3 linked regions of the Neodiprion lecontei genome follow. The protein of the gene in region 2 interacts with the protein of the main gene of each other region in a pairwise test. Links are inferred from orthologs where the notes say so. Each region holds a gene or a part of one and is shown on either strand. Other genes may lie near its edges. The genes, in order: UBX domain-containing protein 6, DAZ-associated protein 2 and CLK4-associating serine/arginine rich protein.

Evidence for each region.
Region 1: the proteins of DAZ-associated protein 2 (region 2) and UBX domain-containing protein 6 interact in binary tests that used the Homo sapiens proteins (3 or more experiments, as listed by UniProt). The link is inferred for Neodiprion lecontei from reciprocal best matches to the Homo sapiens genes DAZAP2 and UBXN6.
Region 3: the proteins of DAZ-associated protein 2 (region 2) and CLK4-associating serine/arginine rich protein interact in a two-hybrid assay, tested with the Homo sapiens proteins (2 studies listed by BioGRID and IntAct). The link is inferred for Neodiprion lecontei from reciprocal best matches to the Homo sapiens genes DAZAP2 and CLASRP.

The regions. Positions count from the first base shown.
Region 1 is NC_060260.1:40,958,790-40,966,343, reverse strand, and holds UBX domain-containing protein 6, read left to right. Parts: upstream 1-1,836; 5' UTR 1,837-1,975; intron 1,976-2,350; exon of another isoform or gene 2,351-3,678; intron 3,679-3,740; exon of another isoform or gene 3,741-3,931; intron 3,932-4,406; 5' UTR 4,407-4,538; coding exon 4,539-4,615; intron 4,616-4,793; coding exon 4,794-4,946; intron 4,947-5,055; coding exon 5,056-5,464; intron 5,465-5,551; coding exon 5,552-5,847; intron 5,848-5,926; coding exon 5,927-6,317; 3' UTR 6,318-6,939; downstream 6,940-7,554. UniProt on the Homo sapiens protein: May negatively regulate the ATPase activity of VCP, an ATP-driven segregase that associates with different cofactors to control a wide variety of cellular processes.
Region 2 is NC_060264.1:32,150,291-32,155,367, reverse strand, and holds the start of DAZ-associated protein 2, read right to left. Parts: upstream 3,118-5,077; 5' UTR 2,936-3,117; coding exon 2,920-2,935; intron 1-2,919. Other genes in the region: uncharacterized protein LOC107217142, read left to right, coding at 3,726-3,805, 3,909-3,994, 4,119-4,282, 4,507-4,699, 4,805-4,975. UniProt on the Homo sapiens protein: In unstressed cells, promotes SIAH1-mediated polyubiquitination and degradation of the serine/threonine-protein kinase HIPK2, probably by acting as a loading factor that potentiates complex formation between HIPK2 and ubiquitin ligase SIAH1.
Region 3 is NC_060265.1:19,892,405-19,900,482, reverse strand, and holds the start of CLK4-associating serine/arginine rich protein, read left to right. Parts: upstream 1-1,972; 5' UTR 1,973-2,116; coding exon 2,117-2,248; intron 2,249-2,733; coding exon 2,734-2,831; intron 2,832-2,974; coding exon 2,975-3,150; intron 3,151-3,248; coding exon 3,249-3,464; intron 3,465-3,598; coding exon 3,599-3,774; intron 3,775-3,913; coding exon 3,914-3,987; intron 3,988-4,633; coding exon 4,634-4,975; intron 4,976-5,085; coding exon 5,086-5,463; intron 5,464-5,539; coding exon 5,540-5,647; intron 5,648-5,855; coding exon 5,856-5,904; intron 5,905-7,231; coding exon 7,232-7,295; intron 7,296-7,375; coding exon 7,376-7,481; intron 7,482-7,555; coding exon 7,556-7,942; intron 7,943-8,078. UniProt on the Homo sapiens protein: Probably functions as an alternative splicing regulator. May regulate the mRNA splicing of genes such as CLK1. May act by regulating members of the CLK kinase family.

The sequences.
Region 1 (7,554 bases), on a different chromosome or scaffold from region 2:
CATTTCGCTTTGCCTTATCCTTCGTGTACTTTCTTGTGGGATATTCGACCAAATTGGCCACGAGCCATCGGCTTATCGCCTATTGTGCTACCGCAAGTTTTCACGTTAAAAACGATTGAAAACGCGGTCTTGCCGTAAATACTTACAAACGTACTAAACATTCTCGTCGTGAAACGCTGTAGGCTTCACGTGTGATTTCTAAAGAAATTCCGTTTGTCACCTCAGAAATCTTCTTGCAAGATTAGTAGGCGTTACGCGATGGCCGAATGAACGCTGAATCACGCACTAAATGCAATTGGCAGCTAATTACGAAGAGTGTGATCGGCTCGTTTCGAGGAGTATTATAGGAAACAAAACGTATTATTAATCGTAATCATATTCGTAGTATTATCACGTGTGATTTTAATCCAATGTTAATACATCACCGTTTGTACCGTAGTTCATGATATTTATTAATCTTAATTCAAGTTTATACGTTAATACCTATAATCGATATACTTATATCGTAATGCAAACTGTATAAAATGCATTATTTCGTAAGAAAATTTCTATACAAGTTATTCTCCTATCCCATTACTCCTCTTACGCTGCGCCGTGTGTTCTAATTAAAATTTGGTGAGATGTGTCATCTTATATTACAACGCGAGGCTCAACCATGGGTTTAAACCTTCATTTCTTTCTCCCTTTCTGACGCTAAAAGTTCCGAATAACTGTAATTTTCAATTTTTTTTCAGATCAATTCGAAATCATTGTATCAACCCAAATATTCATTTAAAAAAACCGCAATATAGATTAGTCTAATCGATTAGTCGCGATTCTGTTCAATTTCCTTTTAATCCGAGGTCTTCGGAATTCGAAATATATCAAGGTACTCCAATAGTTATTCAGCCATTTGTAATATTTCTTCTTTTACATCAGTTTTAGTATAGTATCAGTAAAAATGGGGAGAAAAGTCGTTCCAATATCGTCCGATTTATTTGAATTAAACTTCAAACGGGTAACCAATAACTCGAACCCGCTATCTGGGGGCAAATGATTTCGTAACGTTTTGCTGTCATCATCGGCACTGCCGTGGTCAACCTGACTTCCAATTGTCAAATCCAATCCGAGGTATTCATCCTGTTCGAGGTAAATAAAAAACTGTCGGATGACGATCCGTCGGTTACCGACTGGTCGTAACGGAACCGGGAACTTCGCTGAACGAAGACAGCATCGTTAGATCGAGAGCTGTTAGATGTCAGTGGTGTCGGAGAGTTTTCTGGGGGAGGGGGGATAGGACGCCGCTCGTGTTGTCGGTAAGTGTTCAGTCATGGTAAAGAGTCCACCGTGGATAGGCGTGAACGAATTGAAAGTCACGTGCGGCCGAATTCCCGTTCCGTACGGTCGGGATTATAAAAATCGTCGGTGTGTCAAGGAAACTCGGAGGGTTTGAGGAGGAGTAAAAGGAGAGTAAAATTGAAAATAGAAAAAGGAGAACGAAAGGGGATGATCAGGTGACGCGTGTGATGATCAGCTTATGCGAGGACTCGGCTCCTGGGAGCGGTTCACTCTTGGACGAAATCAATACAATCGCCTGCGACTTGGCCAGCTTCGTACTCGCGACACTCGGCTTGCTAACCTCAAACTCGACGGGCACATCGGCGAGTAACGAAAACGACGCATACGGCCAACAACACCAGACGCTACTTGAATTTTTCCAAGAGTTTTCCGCCTGGCTCGCCTTCGACGAGTTTCAGCTCCAGCTCTTCAAACTCTTCGCCTTAATCCTCGTCAGCAACGTCGCCCTCATATACGTTGCTTGGCACGTTTACGGCGATCGGATATCCGATCGGTTCATGAAACCAGGTCAGCCAGGAAAAACAGATTTGACAGATTTGGTCACGTTTTCTTTTCACCTTTTCTCTTCTCACGCGTATATGCATACTTGCGTACTGGCAGACTCGTGGCATTGCGTCACACCAGGGATCAACTAAACGTAACTATCATCTATATCATATTGAAGTTAGCAACGTTATCGTGACGATTCATGCCGAGGGAAAACCGTTATTTCACGATTTTGGAAGTTTCGGAAATTCATTAAACGGTAATAAAACAAAACATTCATTTTTCGAAATCTCAGTTTTTTTATAATCAGTGTTGTAAAGTTACGAAAATAGGCATTTTTTCCCCAACGTTTCGTCACGATAACGTTGCTAACTTCAACCTCGTTGATCCACGCATTACGAATTGCAGTAGTCTGGTCAGACTGGTTCCCTGCACCTGCGTTCAGGTATATCTGTTGTGTCTTAAGTAACCTCGCAGGTAACGGTCGCCGATGCTTTTACACTTAGTTTCACATTTTAATTAATGTGCGCCGTGATCAATCATCCAGTGTCATTAGTCTGGATTTGTGTTGTATATAGAGGGCATTCCATTTTTTAATTTAAAAACAAGCTCGGTCACGCTGCAACGTATTTATGCTGAAATTTGCGAACTTCAGCGTGTTCATATTGCCGTTCAATTTTATCCTTTCGAGTAGGCACACTAAATCAATTTTCTTTTCACCGAAGAACTTGGCAGAGTGAAAAAAATATCTGGAATAAAATCGTTTTCGAATACTTTAGTTATAAAGCACGTCAATCAAATGCAAATTGTAATTGTCACGGAAGGTAAGATAAGTATACCCTCCTAACAAGACCAGAATCGTTTCGGTCGTTTCATTTCGGGATCATCTTACGAATTACATTTATGCACTGCATTTACGCAATGCTACCAGACGCTTGCACTGTATGCAAGATGTGACCTTCACCTCTACATATGTACGTATTTGTTGTTGCTATAATGTATAACAATACAACGTGCATAGCGTTATTTGATCATACGTGTGGATTACAACTACTTATTCAGGTTTTACTTCAAGACGAGGAAGCGAAACGATTGTACCTAACATTGTCTACCTCACAAACATATTATCTCTGAAAACCTACTCACTCGACAAATGTTATTTTTCATACTAAATTTGGTTTCATAGAATACCACAAAATTGATAGCGATAGTGCAGGACACGTATGACGAGTTAACAGTCATTCACTGCACTGGTGTAGGTAATATACATGTGGCAGGGAAAGTTCTGTGCATGCATTTTCTCCATTATTTGAAGTTGTGAGAATATAGTATTATTTATGTTGTAAACTAGTTATAGGAATATAATACACTAATTACTGTCCTGTATAAGTCTTGATCTGAATATTTTCACATGAAAAACGGTTTGAATAGAATGTTTGTTTCGTACTTTTGCACATTCTTATCTTGAGCTTCCTTGTCTTCTGTGCGTCACAATTATACAGACGATGCACTGATAATGGTGCACGATAAAATGGAAAGCAGTAATCTTGAAGCATTCATCCTAATTAATGACTGCAGAATTCATCGATTGTTTGGACGACGTACGGGGTTGAGCTTCGCGGAAAACTTTCCGTTATAGTCGTACTCTTGGGTGTACATTGCACTGTATATATTATAACGACCTTGAAATTCTTAACATATCTGTGTGAAAAAATCGATTTCTTTTCTCGTCTAACTTTCGTTCCCCACTTGAAATGATAATTTTGTAAAGATAACAATGTTCATAATAATGAAAATGATCATCCATCTGTTTTAATGAATGCGACACATCTTGTAAACGACTGGAAATTCAACGTGAGTAAAAATAGAGGAAAGGATATTTTAGGTATTTAAAGAGTAATCAATTGCGGCAGTAATTGAATCAGTAGAGGGCCTATACAATGTATGTACATGCGCGTAGTAGGACTTATGGATTCTAAAGCAGCGGTCAACGGTAATATAGGCGTATATCTGTCATGCTTGGACATATTTGAAAACAGTAGGTTAAACGTAACGGCCAGCGGTAGCTTACAATGTCCCCAAACTCATTGTATCATCACGGTCTCTACTGAAACAGAAAAGTTTTTATGAAGAAATATTTCATATAATTTAAATACGTTCAGTATTCGTGAAGACAACTTTTGTAAAGAGTCATAAAAATTGTAGCAATTCAAATTAGACATAGTACCAGATCCAAGTATGCAAAACATTTCCAAATTTGGTGTATTTTCCTGTAGATCATATTATCTGCTTCTGTTTCACGGGTGGCATAAAGTTCTCGACTAACGACAAGTATAGTATGTAATTATACACCCACAGAAATGATGCAGTTAAGACTGTGTAGCCATGTGTCTAGAGATTCCGAAAACTCTTGACGCCATCCTCGCAGAGCCAGGTGTATATTTGACCCATTTTAAATTCGTACACTGCTTTTTCTTATCGCATGTATTAATACACAGCTGACTATATGGTATGTGTACTCATAGATTACTTTTCACCTTATTGGTAGTTGGAGTGTGTTAATGAAAATTTGTAACTTTCAGCGACTTCTGCTGCCGTTGAGGAACTGAAGAAGAGCGTCTCCCGATTGAAGTTACCCAAGGAGCATTCCCCGCGGGTTTAGAAAATCATTCACCAGCTAACTCTTTATCGAGTGCCAACCGAAAACAACTAACATGGCGGACAAGATCAAAGCATTTTTCCAGAAAAAGAAATCCGATGCCAAATTTAAGATGGCTGGAAAGGGGTACAAGTTAGTATTAAACGTGTGATACGTATTCACTGTTGCAAAAATTAGTCAGAGAGCTGTCAGTCACTCCGAAATTTTTTTTTTTTTTTTCTATTCGACAGGCATTTAAGCGTTTTGAAGTTTTTGAACTGCACAACTACAAAGAAAACTAAGATTATATTCTTCTTTTCCGTGTTTGCAGATTAACCGAATCGACGAGTTCATCAAAATCGAACTCTAACGAAACAGTGAAGCCAGTGACGCGGGCGGAACCAACCACAGAAGCTAAAATTGCAGGACAAGCTGCCCTGGCGAGGCTCGAGTCGAAGAGGCCAGACCCGACAAAGTTCAACACGTAAGTTCGGCCAGGGATTTCGATTTCGTTCCTAGTATACCTACATGATCATTAATCACGATGGATGAACAGTTTACCAAAATTTTGCTCACTTGTTGCTTATTCGCAGATCGTACGCGGCTATCCAGGCACAAGTCAAACGAGAACTGGAGGCGGAGAGAAAAGCGGCGAGTAATGAGGCAAAGGAAATCGCGCTGCCAAAGGAGCAGAAAATCCCACAGGAGGTCGAGGCAAACCCGCTGCTCGCTGTACGCGGGGTTTATTTTCGCTGTCCGATTATTTCTGACGAAATATTAACCAGGGACGAGTGGAAGAGCAAGATTCGACAGTTCCTTTACGAGCAGCTCAATTACGAGGAGCCCGGACTCACCGCCTGCCTCATCATTCATAGTTGTAATGCCGGGAAAGAAAAGGTTGAACAGTGTGTCGAAACCATGTGCAAGTACCTTGAAAATATCATCAATAATCCGGGGGAGGAGAAATACTGGAAAATACGAATGTCCAATCGGGTATTTCAGGTGTGTAGAAGGGTTGGAATAACAATGTAAGATACCCGAATCGAATGATTTCTTCGTGAATTTAAGCGATACCTGTTCAATGTGTAGGACAAAGTGAAGCCCGTCGAGGGTGCCTTGCAGCTGTTTAAAGCCGCTGGGTTTGAGATGGTCAAACTAGCGCATCAGGAACAGGAAGAGGACTTCCTGGTTTGGAATCCGGAAAAATCTTCGATCGAGCAAGTCGGTATACTGGTTGATGCTCTGAGGACGGCAGAGCCCGTTCGAATTGAGTTGGACAGAAACTTACAAGTCTTACTGCCCAGTCAGGCAGCGAAAAGAAACGAATTACCTCCAATTTTCTTCACCATATCGCCGGAGGAGATTAAGAAGGAGCATCAGCTCAGGTGCGCCACTATTTTTCTTATTTTGGCTTGAAAATATAGCAGTTGACACGTATTGGCAAAAATTTATTTCATAGCACAGGTCTGAAGCGGTAGCAAAGAGTCAAATTCTCCGTACGAAGGCGATGCGGGAAAAAGAGGAATTGCGAGAAATGAAGAAATACCGTTACGCCTTGATACGGGTGCGTTTCCCGGACGGGGTAATGCTTCAAGGCACCTTCGCGGTTTACGAAAGGGTCGAGAACGTCGTAGAATTTGTCAGAGAGAATTTGATCAGTGACGAGATACCGTTCGTTTTAACAACGCCGACGGGTCATCGTCTCGGGAATGAAGACTATGAAAAGACCTTGGTTGACAACAGACTGGTCCCCGCATCAATACTGAATTTCAGCTGGGATACGGAGATTTTAGATACCAAGGGACCCACCGAATATCTCAAAGAAGAAATTATCTGCCTGATACAGTCCACGTAAGCCTCCTCACCCTAGTCGAGCTATGATTTTATCGTCATCACCTTCCACTCGACAATGGTAAGCACGGACACTCTAGTTTCACACGAAGCGAAGTTTGGAGTCTTTGTTATTGTTCAAGCTATAGAAAAATCAAATTCTAACACATTGGTAGAAAACGATGCAACAAATTAACAAAATTTTCGATTTTGAATGAGTTAATGGGTGACCATTGTGCTCACGGTGCTGATTGATTGTAGACATCGTCGCGTTCCGCCGTCTCACACACGGTTTGGTTCTGTTTTTGATATTCTACAAGACGATGAAACTGAAATCAATACGCAAGGGAAAAAAGAAACTTGAAACTGAATAGATCAATTAAAGACGGAGACAATATTCTCTGCTGTCTGACGTCGAATTATGACATGCTTACGTCTTATTATACCTTTTAATAGAAATGTCCCCCCTAATAATGCGAATAACGGGATGTTTTGCTGAATGATTGCCAGGGGTAAATGCAACACTATGGACATACAGGTATTGTACACTATTGATAGCAAAATATTCTCTTTGTAATTGAATCCATACTTGTTAAAAAAGGAAAAAAAAAAAAGACGATTGGAATAAATATCACGTTTTATTTTCATTTCTGTACTATGTGCTCATCATTTTTTCTTGTACACTTTGTCTCCTACCCAGTTCGGTCAATCGTGTAGAACCAGAGAATTTAGACAGGCTAAAATTTCTTGAGCGTCATTCAAAAGAGTGGTAATTCAATTAGACTACAGTTTAATGTAAGCTGGGATCAAAAATATGAAACATCAAGGAATACTCTTGTTACAAATGGTCTAGATTTATACACCGCTTTTCTTCAACCCATCATTAGACTGCCCACGATATCAACTCGTAAGAACGGCGTAGAAAAGAATTTTATTCAACTTTTTCCACTGATGGGTCTGCATGAATACGAAGTGGGCCAATGTCAAATTCTATTCCACATGTTCGATACTATATCGAGGCACCTTGAAATCATAATCAGCGCGTAAGTCCGCCTTGTCACAGGCAACCACCTCAGACTCAAGGAATAGGTAGCGTCCTCGGTGGGAATTAACGAAACTGTTTCGTCGCAGACCACAGCAGGCTGGTCAGCCACCGGTATTAGTGATAAATTTCAATTGGTGGATGAGAAGAACCCATGAATCGACAACCGTAATCACGATTAGCCAACGGCAAAGTCCGCTTCGATAGAAGTACGTCGCGT
Region 2 (5,077 bases):
TTGTACGTGTGTGTGTATATATATATATATATATTTTTATCACGAAACTTTAGACGCTGATTTATTCACGGTAAGATACAAGGGTGTGCCCGAAAAAATATAATCCGCTCGATAATTAATCGCAGCTAAGAAGAGTGTAATTGTTTGTTCTTGTTTTTTTTTTTTTTTTTTTTTTTTTTATTCAAGCTTTCGGTACCAATTCCAGATGGGTAAAAATGTCGATACGCACATGTATTCGATTTTTTTAATATTCGTCGTGACATCGAGTCAAATCAATTATCATCGTTTAACTGTTAAGTAAAATTATCACCTAATCATCAAGTAGGATTATCGTTAAACTGTCGAGTGGAATTTGCATAGAGTTTTATTAGTCACTTTCCTTCCGTTGAAGGTTAACGAACTGTAATGTACGAATACAGAACGTCAGAAGGATATGCAAATTGGGTTAATTTTCATTGGAATATATTGAAATCAGAACTAATTCGAGTCACACCCTCATTCGACCTTATAAGATGACATAAACGATGATTCAACGGTACTCCGTGGCAGTTATTTTTCTTCAGCTAGCTAATAAAGTTGAACATCTCGCGAAGAGAATCGATTACGATTGCCATCTTTTTTTTTTCTTTCACCTTGTCAAGAAGCTGCGTAAGTTTAACGAACCAAGGAATTCGCTCTGTTTGATTTGTGTCTAATAAAAATATTTCGTTGCACGCGTTTTTCGGTTTTATGAATTGAGCTTCTTTTCTTTTCTCTCCAAGTCTGAGCTTGCAGCGCTTTGAAATATCGAATACCGACTGATGGTCATTCTTTACAGTTTTTTCACAAAATTGTACACTATCCCGTCCTTTTCTTCAATTGCATTCTTTAAGAAGGATATGGGAAAAGCTGACTTTTTACTTTCCTTTCGCTGAACGTCTAACGATCACACGGTTTAAATGAAAGTATGGATGCAAAAAACCGTAAAACAATAGAAGAAAAAAAAGAAAACGCCAGGCATACCCTATAGGACCTTTTCCTCAGGACGAAAAGTATTGCTAGGAGAGACGAACCGAACTCCGTTGAAATATCCGGCGGTAGGTAGGTACCTGAAAATTCATAAAAAAAAAAAAAAAAAAAGATCGACCTCAACTTACTCCCGGGAGTCATTTGTCATGACTTTCACACCGATTTGTTTCTTCTTCTCTTGGGTGAAATTAAATTTCGTAACGAAGATGTTAACCATGCATCTTGTTGAGAGTGGTTTTATTATAATTTTTTTTTTTTTCAAACTGTAAAGAAACCACACCAGACGTTTCAATTAAAGATTCGGCAATCGGAATACAACTAAGGAATCTGTATTCTAGTTACAATTATTATCAATTCAAAGGCTTTCGAGTGTTAAAACATCATTTATTCAATCATTATTGAGTGTGAAGATACTTCGGTTGTCCCTATAATAATTTTAAATTGCATGAGACACCGGCGGGATGAAAAATGCCGAGATAACGACCGATTGCGCAGAATTGTGGGAACGTTTTCTCGCTCGACGTTGCGGTGAAATATTTCATGCTACCATCAGCCATATTTTGGACCGTAAGTCGTTACGCGAATATCGTGAAAACCGTTCTAAGGTCGTTTGGCTCGTATGTAGAGAACAATTTATCGTCATTGATATTTTTCAGTATTATTTTCAGAAATTTCAGAGTTACGGACGTTACAAAAAACCAAATTTTTTTTGCCATCAACGATTATAATGAAATAATTCTTAACTCAGGATATATTACGGATATAGAGAATGTAGTCCCTAAGTTACGAATTCTTGGATACAGAGAAACACCGTTTGACAAAAAACAGACATTTTCCAATGGCCGCGCGACTTTGAGAATTCTTAAAATAAGTGAAACATACGAAAATCAAGAATACGTTTCTGCGGACCGGAACTAAACACAATCAAACATATTCGTAAACAATATCCGAGGTTCCAATTTAGCATACAGAATACCCGATTTATTTTTATTTTTTTTTTTTATCTTTTTTTTTTTTAATTCCATTTTCATGATAAAACTCTTCAAGCGTAATGAAACAAGATGTGTAATTCGTATTTTTGTTCCATTTCGTCAGACAAAAGCGCAACGCTTGTTTTACATGTATTTAATGATGATATTGAGCTTGGAAGCTAGGCAACATAATATCAGCGTAAAGTTTTCACTCGACCGTTCGATTTGTGGACATGTTTTACGGATATTGTGAAATAACGATCGCGTAGAAACTGAGCGAAAGACGTTCCTCCGCGAATCATAACTCATAAAAGAGATGCGGGGTATACGTGGGTACATTTAATTTCTATCCAGGTTCTCTCCAAGGCCGGTGGCCATTTTGTATATTCCTACACACTAGAATCGCGTCGTCGGTAGGTCGGCCGGAGTATTGATCTACTTGGTGGGATGTGCATTGCAAGTTTTTCGAACGAATTTATGCTGCATCCCGATTCGTTCCGGACGCGGTTTTTATGACACGCTCAATCGATACGCGTAAGCCCGATCCGAATACGATTGATATTTACCGAGCGGGATTCGATTGCTTCAGTATTGAGCGGATTTTCCGCACCTAACAATCGCTCATTACTTACACCGAGTACGTTAATTATCCTTGGAGAGGAATGGACGTGCGTTAGGCTCGCTAATTTTCAACGATTCTCTTCCGTTTGTCGCGTCTACTTTTCACCTAATTTTCGAACGTTCCTTTTTTTTCCTCTCTGTCTCTTTCTCTCTTTCTCTCTCTTTCTCTATTTTTTTAGATCACATCGAAAATATTCCCTATCTATCTCATCTCTCTTTTTCTCTCTATTTCTTCTCGTATATTATAATATTGTTGAAAACGTAATAATCGTGAGGTAATTTCATTCGATATTATAGTGATATTTTGCTGGATAATTACCTTTTTTGTCAGTCATTATTGCTCAAACGGTATTTTTGCGCACGGATTATTTATTCAATCTAATAATTATTTTCGTTAAAATCACCAAATATTTCTACTTGTGTTTCGAGTTTAGAATACGAGAATATGGCTGCTTGACACTTGACACTTGAGACACACGCGCTACTCCACCTGACGGACGGACTACGACTTCAACGAACCAACTGCCTCGCACTCTACCCAAGATGTATAGATTGGCGACTCTGTGCTACCGGCTAGCGTCTAACTTTTGCGCCTATCAAATATCGTCTAACTATCGTAGTTCCAAAGTTTTTCGTTCTTTACGATTTGTCTTTAATTAGAGCTTAAAATGGTATTTAAATTAACAAAGAACTTCTGTCTCCCTATTTTCGCACACCCATATCAATGAGAAAATAATACTTTGCCATTTTGTGTCTTTAGGTTAAATTGAAAGAAATCATATTTCATCAATTTGCCTTGAAATAATTCGTTCGTATTTTATTTTCAGGTAAAATTTAGTACGTAATCTCACTGTAATATAATAATACTGTATTTTAGTGCATATCCTTCTGAGATTTTTGTTTTTATTTATACATATTCTGACGATGAAATTTGTAGAATTATTCGCGGGCAAATCGAATCGTTTGAATTCAGTTCTGCGCGCGTTGCTCATTGTTGCGCCCTCCGACGCTGCCGTACGGCTCGCTTAGAAACAGCTGTATCATGCATTTGCTGTTAATTTGAGTGGAGAAAAGTGAGGTTACGTTTCTCTTGTTCATCGTCAAGTATTACACATATCAAAAATCATGGCTCAAATTTTCGGTGAAATTGTTGAGCCGGAATCACGAGCCTTTTGGGACGACGACGAGCTCGATGCTTCGCAATTGTAATTATCCGTAGTCGATTTTAAACTATTCAACGCTAAAGAAAGTGTCCATTGATTAGACTGAACGTTCAGCAAAGACATGAAATATCTATCTATTTTATAGCCAGTATCAACTACGATGGTCCGGAGACAACGTGATGCCGTCGTCGATAAAGACTTTCCTTATTGTCGAAGGAAGCGTCGTATCTGGTATTCTAACTTTGTAGGATCTATGGATTTTAGTATCATTGTAATAGAATTACCGCTCTGCAGTACTCTAATGGGAAAGAAGAGTATTTTTTCGAAACCATCGTAATCGAGGTTTCTGTTTCAGACTTCACGAGAATGTGCAGCCTCGGCAGAGGCGAGAACGAAATATGCATTATAGAGCATGGAAGATTCAAAGCATCGAATATTTATAAAATCAACAACGATTTGTACACCTGTCTCGTCAGTCCGGATCTGGACGCGAAACACTCGACCGAATTTATTGCGACGGTAACTGAATTGTATTCAATTTATTTCATTGTCTGCAATCTGCTTAAAATTGTTCGTACTGATAATATCGTGATCGTTATTACTCAGTGACTTCATGATGTTCGAAAATTGACCGTTAATTCGGGAAACATGCAATCGACTTTCTCAAGATAGTTCGGAATTTGAATGATTGAAAAAAAATCGTACTGCGATTGCGCGCGATAATTTCAAATTGTGTTTTTCAGTTGACAGATTTTCTGCTGAACGCCGAGAAGATAATAACTCTCACATGCCAGCACGTTTCGTCGTACAAATCAGACGTCGCGCCGATTTTGCCGTCTTTTCTCCAATCGCTGTCCACCAAAAGCGGTAAATCGCCGTTGAATGACGTCGAACGTGTCAAACAACCCAATATAGTTCATGGAATTGCAGCTGGAGGTTTGTATTTGTAATATTATATCTTAAATGGCCAACCGTTTTTTGCCATCAGTTCCGTGTGGGAAAATTCATTTTCCTCAACCGATAAAATTATTCACATTCCAGTAATGTCGTATGCTGAAATATTCGAACTCTCTGCTGTGCTGTACGTACTTTACGTGGAAGAGTTTCTACTCGATTCGGAGACAGCTATGCCCTTGGTGAAATTGTTTGCTGCCATTCCAGGTAGTCTATTACACGATCCAGTCTTCAAGCAGAGTAGTTTTAGCAGCAGAGGTAATTTGTACATGTAGATCATAATGTCGTTTGTGCCTTCTTTGATAAACTTTGTAATAAAAATTATTATTTCCGTACCTCATTTTCTTGTGATTCGAATAA
Region 3 (8,078 bases), on a different chromosome or scaffold from region 2:
TTAATTAATTAATAATATAATAAATTTTATTAGCGCATTGATAGCTACTGAATATGTGCTTGCGCGAAAAATGAATCGAAATAATTCGATGTAAACATGACAAGTTTGAAATATATTAGATAAAACATATTTACAATTGCCATCAAATATTATAAAAGTGTTTTACACACCGAGCACAAATCCTCTTCCTCCTCGTCCATCTTGTTCTCCTCGTCTTCCTCGTTCTCCTCCTCGTTCACCTCTGACCGCCACCAACCACCGCCAACCACCTCCAACAACCACCGATAAACACCACGGATATACCTGGAATAGTAATAAATATCTTCAGTATAAGAACGTATCAAAAATATCGCGTGAGTAATAGTATAATCAATTAACCAATTTATAACATCATGAATTCTATTAGCGCATTCATAGCTACTGAATTTGTCCTTGCGCGAAAAATGAATTGAAATACTTTGTTTTAACATGACAAGTTTAAAAAATTTTACATCAAATATAATTACAATTCCTAGTCAAGGACCTGGACAGCCACAACTACGGAGCGCTTTTCCTGGATGTCAAAATCCACCAGGTGAAGGACCTGGATAGCCAGAACTACGGAAAATTAGTACTGAAGGTCATAAGTCACTAGCTCAGGGACCTGGACAGCCAGAACTACGGAGCGCTCGTTCTGGAAATCGAATTTCCCCAGGTAGCGGGCCTGGAGCACAGAAACTACGGAGCGCTTGTCCTGGAAGTCAAGTTCCACCAGGTAGCAGACCCGGAGCGCAGGATCGAGAAGGTAGAGAACCCGGTACTCGAAATCTGCAGAGCGCGATTCTCACCCGTCCGCTCTACTGCGCGGCTGTTTCCAGACTGAGGAATTCTGCTAGCCGATTTCAAATCGATTACGTCAAGAGAAAAAAAAAATTGGGTGACGTGACTTTCTGAACATCCGACATCCAAACTTTGGTTTGGAACTTTAGTACTATGTATGATGATGTATGATGTATGATGTACGATGTATGATGTATGATGATGTGATATGATGTATAATGATTTTAGTTTTCACATTTCATACAAGAAATACGCACTTTATCTCCCCTGCCGATTCCAGACTCAAGCGGCCAGGCCCTTCGATGGTCCGCCGTTGACTGAAGATATATCCTTCAGTTAACGGGTCGGTTAATAACGCTGCCGTTCTGCGACAGTTGAATGATGAAAAATTTTACTCCTACCTTTCAAATGTGTGTTAAAATACGCTCGATGTTCTAAGAAGCTTCGTTCATTCTCTCTCTATCATCTTTTTAGCTCCCTAAATCACGACACTGCGTTAAATACTGTCTCATATACGGTGAATCCATTTCATCTCCTTCAAAATTAGCGCACTCGTGATGTATTACACTTACTCCGAATTTTTTTCCATCCGAATACTTACTTTCCGAAAAACAATTCTGCTTCTCTACCTAACGTAGATACTTTACTCTCGACTAGCTAGAACAGCGTTTCGATTATATTCCTACGAAAATTCAAGATCGAGAGAGCAAATGAAAAGTTGTTGGAATAATTTTGAATATTAATGTTATGGGATACATCGAGCGCGTGTCGAATAGAATCCCATTTTGAAATGAATAATTTTTCTTCTTTCACATTATAGCCATATTATTGTAGATAATCTAGTTTGTCTCCGGAAAATTATAAAATTTATAGTATGCATCACGTAATCAGCGCAGTCCCAACACGCTGTGAGCAACGCACAAAAAGGTAAAGCCGAAAAACAAAGAATTTTATCCATTTGAGCATTCTGATTAGTTTGTGAAGTATAGTCAACTAATCAGAATGCTTGAATGGTGGGAAATGTGAAAAGTGAAATTACAGATTACAGAAATCAGACGGTAATGAGAAAATCTACCTTACCCAGGACATGGACAAATGGAGGAGCCGGAAAGAGACCACCAATGATCGTGCTTCATCAGCCATGGATTCCGGTGGATTCCGGTAAGTAAACCATCATGGCGGGGAAGCGCAAGAAGTGAGTGAGCGAGTTGCAGACTTTCAATTATTTCGTGAAATGTTTGAGTAAATGAAAGTATTGTGGTATCCCGAGTGACAAAGGCTACTCATCGCATCCAAAATGAGTTTTTCCGTGAAAAAAACTGGCGGACGGATGTGGCACGAGGCACGGAAGCAGGAGAAGAAGATTCGTGGAATGTTGGTTGACTACCGTCGACGGGCGGAACGTCGCCGGGATTATTATGAAAAAATTGTAAGATATTTTACTCACGGGTGAAACCACCACTTTTTCAACCTATGTAAACATATTTCCAAGTATTTCTGAATTAATTCTCGCAGTTTTGTAGCAGTCTGCAATTTTTTCATCGCTTCGCATAATCGTATGGCCTATTCACAGATTGTAAACAATTTTATTCACAATTTGATTATATCAAAGAATATGATAGATTCTTCCTTGTCATGCGGCTTGACCTGAGCTTTCCAATTTCGATTTATCTAATGGAAATTTACAGACATTGTCTCTTGCATACATGCAGTCTTGACAGATTTCTGACAAAATACTCTCTTGATTCATACGAACCAAAAATTATTATCAGCTTGTTAGTTTCGAATAATGTAATTTCTTACTTTTGGGTTTTATGTCATAAGAAAAGCCATTCGTTTGTGACATACAGTGGATCCACACTGTTATTTTTCTGACTTGCAACGCAAGATTAACGCAACATTTTTTACTCTCAGAAATCAGATCCCACTCAGTTTCTGCAATTACATGGTAGGCCATGCAAGATTCACCTTGATCCAGCTGTGGCAGCTGCCGGTGCTAGCCCTGCTAACATGTAAGTGAAACATAATTGTTTATTTTCCATCCATTTTTCTAAGTTTAGCATGTTTTAAGAAATTTATCGTTGAATGGCACTTGAATGTGAGAATCCTCATCTCACATTTATCTGAAATTCGTTGTATATTGATTAATTCACAGGATGCCGTGGCAAGGGAATGACGAAAATCTAATTGACCGTTTTGATGTCAGAGCGCATCTAGATTGGATTCCAGAAGCTCCTGATACTATAGATGTTGACATTGCGCTAACCAGTGAAGATAGGCATATCAATTATGAACGTTATCGTATAATCGTTCAAAACGAATTTCTTGGAGGTTTGGATTCATCGATTCTAACATTTATTTGAATTCTGCTACAAAGCTAAGTACTGGTTGACTGTCTGAGAATAACATGCTCTTCATTTTGTTTATAGTAACAGAGGAAAAATTTCTACATCAAATTCACATAGAGGAACAGTTTGGTTCTGCCACCAAGCCCGATGCAGCTAAAGATAAAAAGAAATCAAATGCCAATGCTGCTATCGGATATAACTATGAGACAGAAGAACCCATTTCAGATCCAATCAAGCCAGTAGAAACCATCGGTGTAGAGGATAAACCAGAAGACGAAGATAGTGATATTGATTTAGGTAAGTTGCATAACCCATAAGTTGACGAACTTCATCAGCTCACTGTTGACCTGGAAATAAATTAATTAATAAATATCAAGGACCGATTATTTTATGCAGAATGTGTGAATTAATTGGATTTGATGTACCTTTAGACATTTGTGTGGATGTATCGCAAATAGAACCATCGCAAGCCCATGAAATGAATCAGGTAGCTCAAAAGTATGGCCTGCTTGGTGCTGACTACTTCAGTTTCTTGACACAAGATGTCGAAGAAGCAGAAACACTACGGCAGGCTCGCAAGCAAGAGGAAGAGAAGGCCATGTATTCGGTTTGTTTCAGTGGCTTACTTATTGTTAGAACTGTATGATTAACGGGTATTTATTTGGAAAATTATTCGAAAAGCAATAGATACTGTCCGCAAACCTTGCCAACACCTTGTTTGAATTTCGTAATTTATATGTTACCAGGGTCGACGATCGAGGAGAGAAAGACGGGCGTTTCGGGAAAAGAAAATGATTGGTCGAGTCATGAGTCCACCAAGGTAATTACCAAGATTTATTTCACATCTAACGTATTGTAAGATTTGGTCATTGGGCCATACATTAATTTAACCCCCTCTTTTTCTTGTGGTAATTTTCTATCAACTCAGAAAATTGTTCTGTCAGATACTAATTAAAACCAAGGGAAGACCTACAGCATTGAAACTGTATTGTCTTGATACTTTGTCTTCATTTCAGAAAAATTGCCACTAGTCTGAATAATTGAGGCTACAGAACAGCTTGAAATCCTTTTAAATGTATAAATAATTTTTTATACACTCTACATTTTGTATAGTCACAATATTTGTCAATAAAATTTGATAAAAAGAGGTTGACCATCATTATTTTAAATGTCGCGTGGTTAAGATCTTTCTCGTAACCATTTAAAACAATCTATGATTCGTAGTTCAATAATGCATGACAAAGTCAGAATATCGATTAAAATTATTTTGCGAACAATGAATGCATTACTATAGCAATTTTTGTGAGTTCTACCTTGAAAAATGAATTAGCACAAGTAAAGTTTTTATTGCTAAATACATAACGGTGTGCGGCAACTTGACTAGAGTTTAAGCATTTTACTTCAATCGATTTACCAGTGAAATTCTTATGACAAGTTCAATACCATAATAACAAAAAATGTCCTAGTTACGCAGCCAGAGAGAGCCCGGAATACAATCCTTATAGAAAATCATCTTCGAAGTCCCGCTCAAGATCTGCTTCTCCAATCAATGCTGGACAAATTACCTACATCACAAGCTTTGGTGGAGAAGAAGAAGCACCTGGTAGTTCGTCCCAGATTACTACAACAAATATAAAAAAAGTTACTTATTCTCATTTGAAGAGAAGGCGATCAGAAAGTCCCGTCTTCACGGACAGAACGATTTCCCGAAGAATTTCGAAATCCAGATCACGAAGTACTTCCAGATCGTTAACTAGATCAAAATCATACAGGTCGCGTGACAGGAGAAGAAGTAACTCACATTCTAGGTAAGTTGAGGCTTGACCGACAAGTCCTTACCAACATATTATCCTTTATTAACTTGTATCTGAATAAAGTCGTATGCGTAAACGCGTTTAATTACATATGTATCTCTTAGATTGAGAAGCACAGGTTCCAGATCAACCAGACATGCAAAATCTAGAACCCGAAGTCGCTCGAGACACAGACATTCAGGAAGTAGATTACAACAACGCTCACGTACCCGAAGTGTATCAAGATCAAGTTCAAAATCAAGGTCTAGGTCGCGTTCGAGGTCTAGATCTAGATCTAGATCACGGTCACGTCAAAGAAGGTTACGGTCTTCCTCGCGCAGTAGTTCTTCAATTTCGAAATCAAAGTCGCGATCCAGATCACGAAACAGGAGTCGGTCCAAAGAGAGTTATCGCAGAAGACGTTATTCTCAATCAAGATCAAGAAGTCGTTCCAACACAAGGCGATCCAAAAGTGTTGACAACAAAACACCTGCTTTACCTAGGTGCAAAAACCAAATTACTGTTCTTACTAATTTATGAGGCTCATTCCATATGTTTTAAATTGTGTATTGCTTATAGATATTATGGTCGGAGAGGCAAGTCTTCCAGTTTAGAGTTGGAATTGTCTGATAACGATGAAAAAAGTATTCCACCGGCGCCTAAGCCTCCGATAATCAGCGCAAGCGTGTAAGAACACCTAACTAAATCATTAATCGCGTACTGTTCTCAAATAATTAATACTTTGGTCTTAATTGAGTATATCTGTTCGATTTCTAACTTCGAAGGCTTAATCATTGTATAAAATTGAACAAAACATGATTTTCTTATAGATTTTGTAAAACTTAAACCAAGGTAAGGCGAACAAAGTTTTTAACAAAATTCTCTCTTGTTTCAGGAACAAGCCAAAAGCAGGGTTAAGTACATATTCTGGTGGCGGATACAAAGTCAGTAAGAACCATAACGCTTCCTTAGTCACTTAATACACAAAACAAAAAGAATAAATATATTTATTCGGTTTCTACTATCGCCTAACCAGACGTTTTAAACTTTATGAATTTGTTCTATGGAGTTGCAAATAATAGAAAACGATTTTTGCAATTCAATAGAGTAATTATTTAGCTTGAACAAATCTTTGAGTTGCTGTGATAATTGAGTTGAAGACATGCTGGAGACAGTACCCGTACACACAAATACAACACGATCATGTTCTTTGACCAAGGCGACATCTTACTACTAATGTTCTCGTTACGCGCGGCTTAATAAGATAATTATAGATACTTGTCTCTCTAATGACAGATCCAAACTTACAGATATTTTTAACGTCAAGTTTACTAACAATACGTTCACACATGAAGATAATTGAATTGATTACAATTCAATTCAAGTCTGTGTGTCAGACGAATGAATTTAGTTTTAGAATTTTATTTACATTTTTCTTTTGCTAAATATCAATCAGAACGGCATGATTAGACTAATTATTTAATATTTGCACCAAAGAATTGAATAGTTCGTAATATTACCAATTCTATCATTTGCCCGTATTTGCATTTACGTTCTAGATAAATGTTCACGGTTGCTTCAGGTTTTTGATAACGGACAATTTTATTTTCTCTCCGCTCCCTCATTCAATAGTTCAATGTTTTTTAGAATCTTTAGTTTATTAAATTTCTAATTTGTTCCAAGTTGATGAAACCTTTGGAATAAATCAGAATTCGGAAGTGTGTTTGTGTGGAGCTAAGTACAAGCACCTCGCACATGTAAGGTAACTTCTCAAGTACATTAAACTATCAAAAGGAGGGTTCAGAAAGAATTTCAGCAGAAGGAATCTCAAGTTGTAGAAAATCAATAAAATATTCCCTACACAATTCCTAACTATCGCGTCAATAATATAAATAAGAAATTTCGATAAGTTTCGTTACGGCTCTGTTAAACTACTTTGCGGCATATTTCAATTGAAGAATTTTTAGGTGAAATGGTAATTGGTAGCCTATACACTTTGCGCAACTACACACTCCAGAAATGTTAACAAATCAACACTTCTTCATTGGTGAACATTGAAGAACTAACGATCTTCAATTTTATTTTGTCCAGATTCTTGGTAACAGTGACATTTTCCATGTTTGATCCTTTAGTAGTTATCGTTATTGAGTTTATGCTTGGGTTAAAATCATTTTCCTTCAATGACACAGTGTATCTGACTAAAGTAATTTTAGAACATTTATATATCACTGATTTCATAATCGACTATTTTTTAAGAAATTAATATTGCAGTCTTCAAAAACCACACCTCAAGAGCGGCTTAAGAAGAAAATGCAAGCACTGCTTAACAGGCAATGTAAATAATAATAATTACCAAACCTAAGCCAGTTTAATATCGTAAATGTACTGGAAGTATGTTGACCTTTTTACTTACAGATAAAGCAGATAAAAAAGCTGAGCAGCTACGAATTGAGAAAATGGAGCAGCAAAGGCAGGATCGTGAAGATGAGATTCGAGAGATGTCCTTAAAGCTACGTCGAAGGTCCTTATGTCAAATTTCTTCTGAAACAATTATGGCTACTCATTAATAACATTAAATTATATTTTTATTTTTAGGCAAAGAGAGTTGAGGCATAAATATGAAGGGCATACTTCTGACAGTAATTCCTCAAATTCGTGCAGTCCGAGTCCAAATCGTAGCCCCAGACTCCAAGTGATCCGGAGAGAAAGAAGAGACAGAGACATTAGAGATATTGATATTGGAAGTGACCGGGATAGGGACAGGGACAGGGACAGGGAGAGGGAGCGGGAGAGAGAGAGGGAGAGAGAAAGGGAGAGGGAGAGGGATAGGGATAGGGATAGAGACCGGGAAAGAGAGAGAGAGAGGGACAGGGAACGGGAAAGGGAAAGAGACAGACGTGATGATAGGAACAAAGACAGGCATGATTCGCGAAGAAGGCACAAGGAATCTCCAAGGCCAACTTCCAGTCCTAGGAATAATCGGTAAAATCTAAATTCATACTGATCATTATTTTTACATTTAATTTTTTGATGTCGATCAACGCAACAAACGAAATTCGTTTTGAGAACTAAGAACAATATCATTAGCGAACAGATAGAACTATTCCTCTAATTTCCG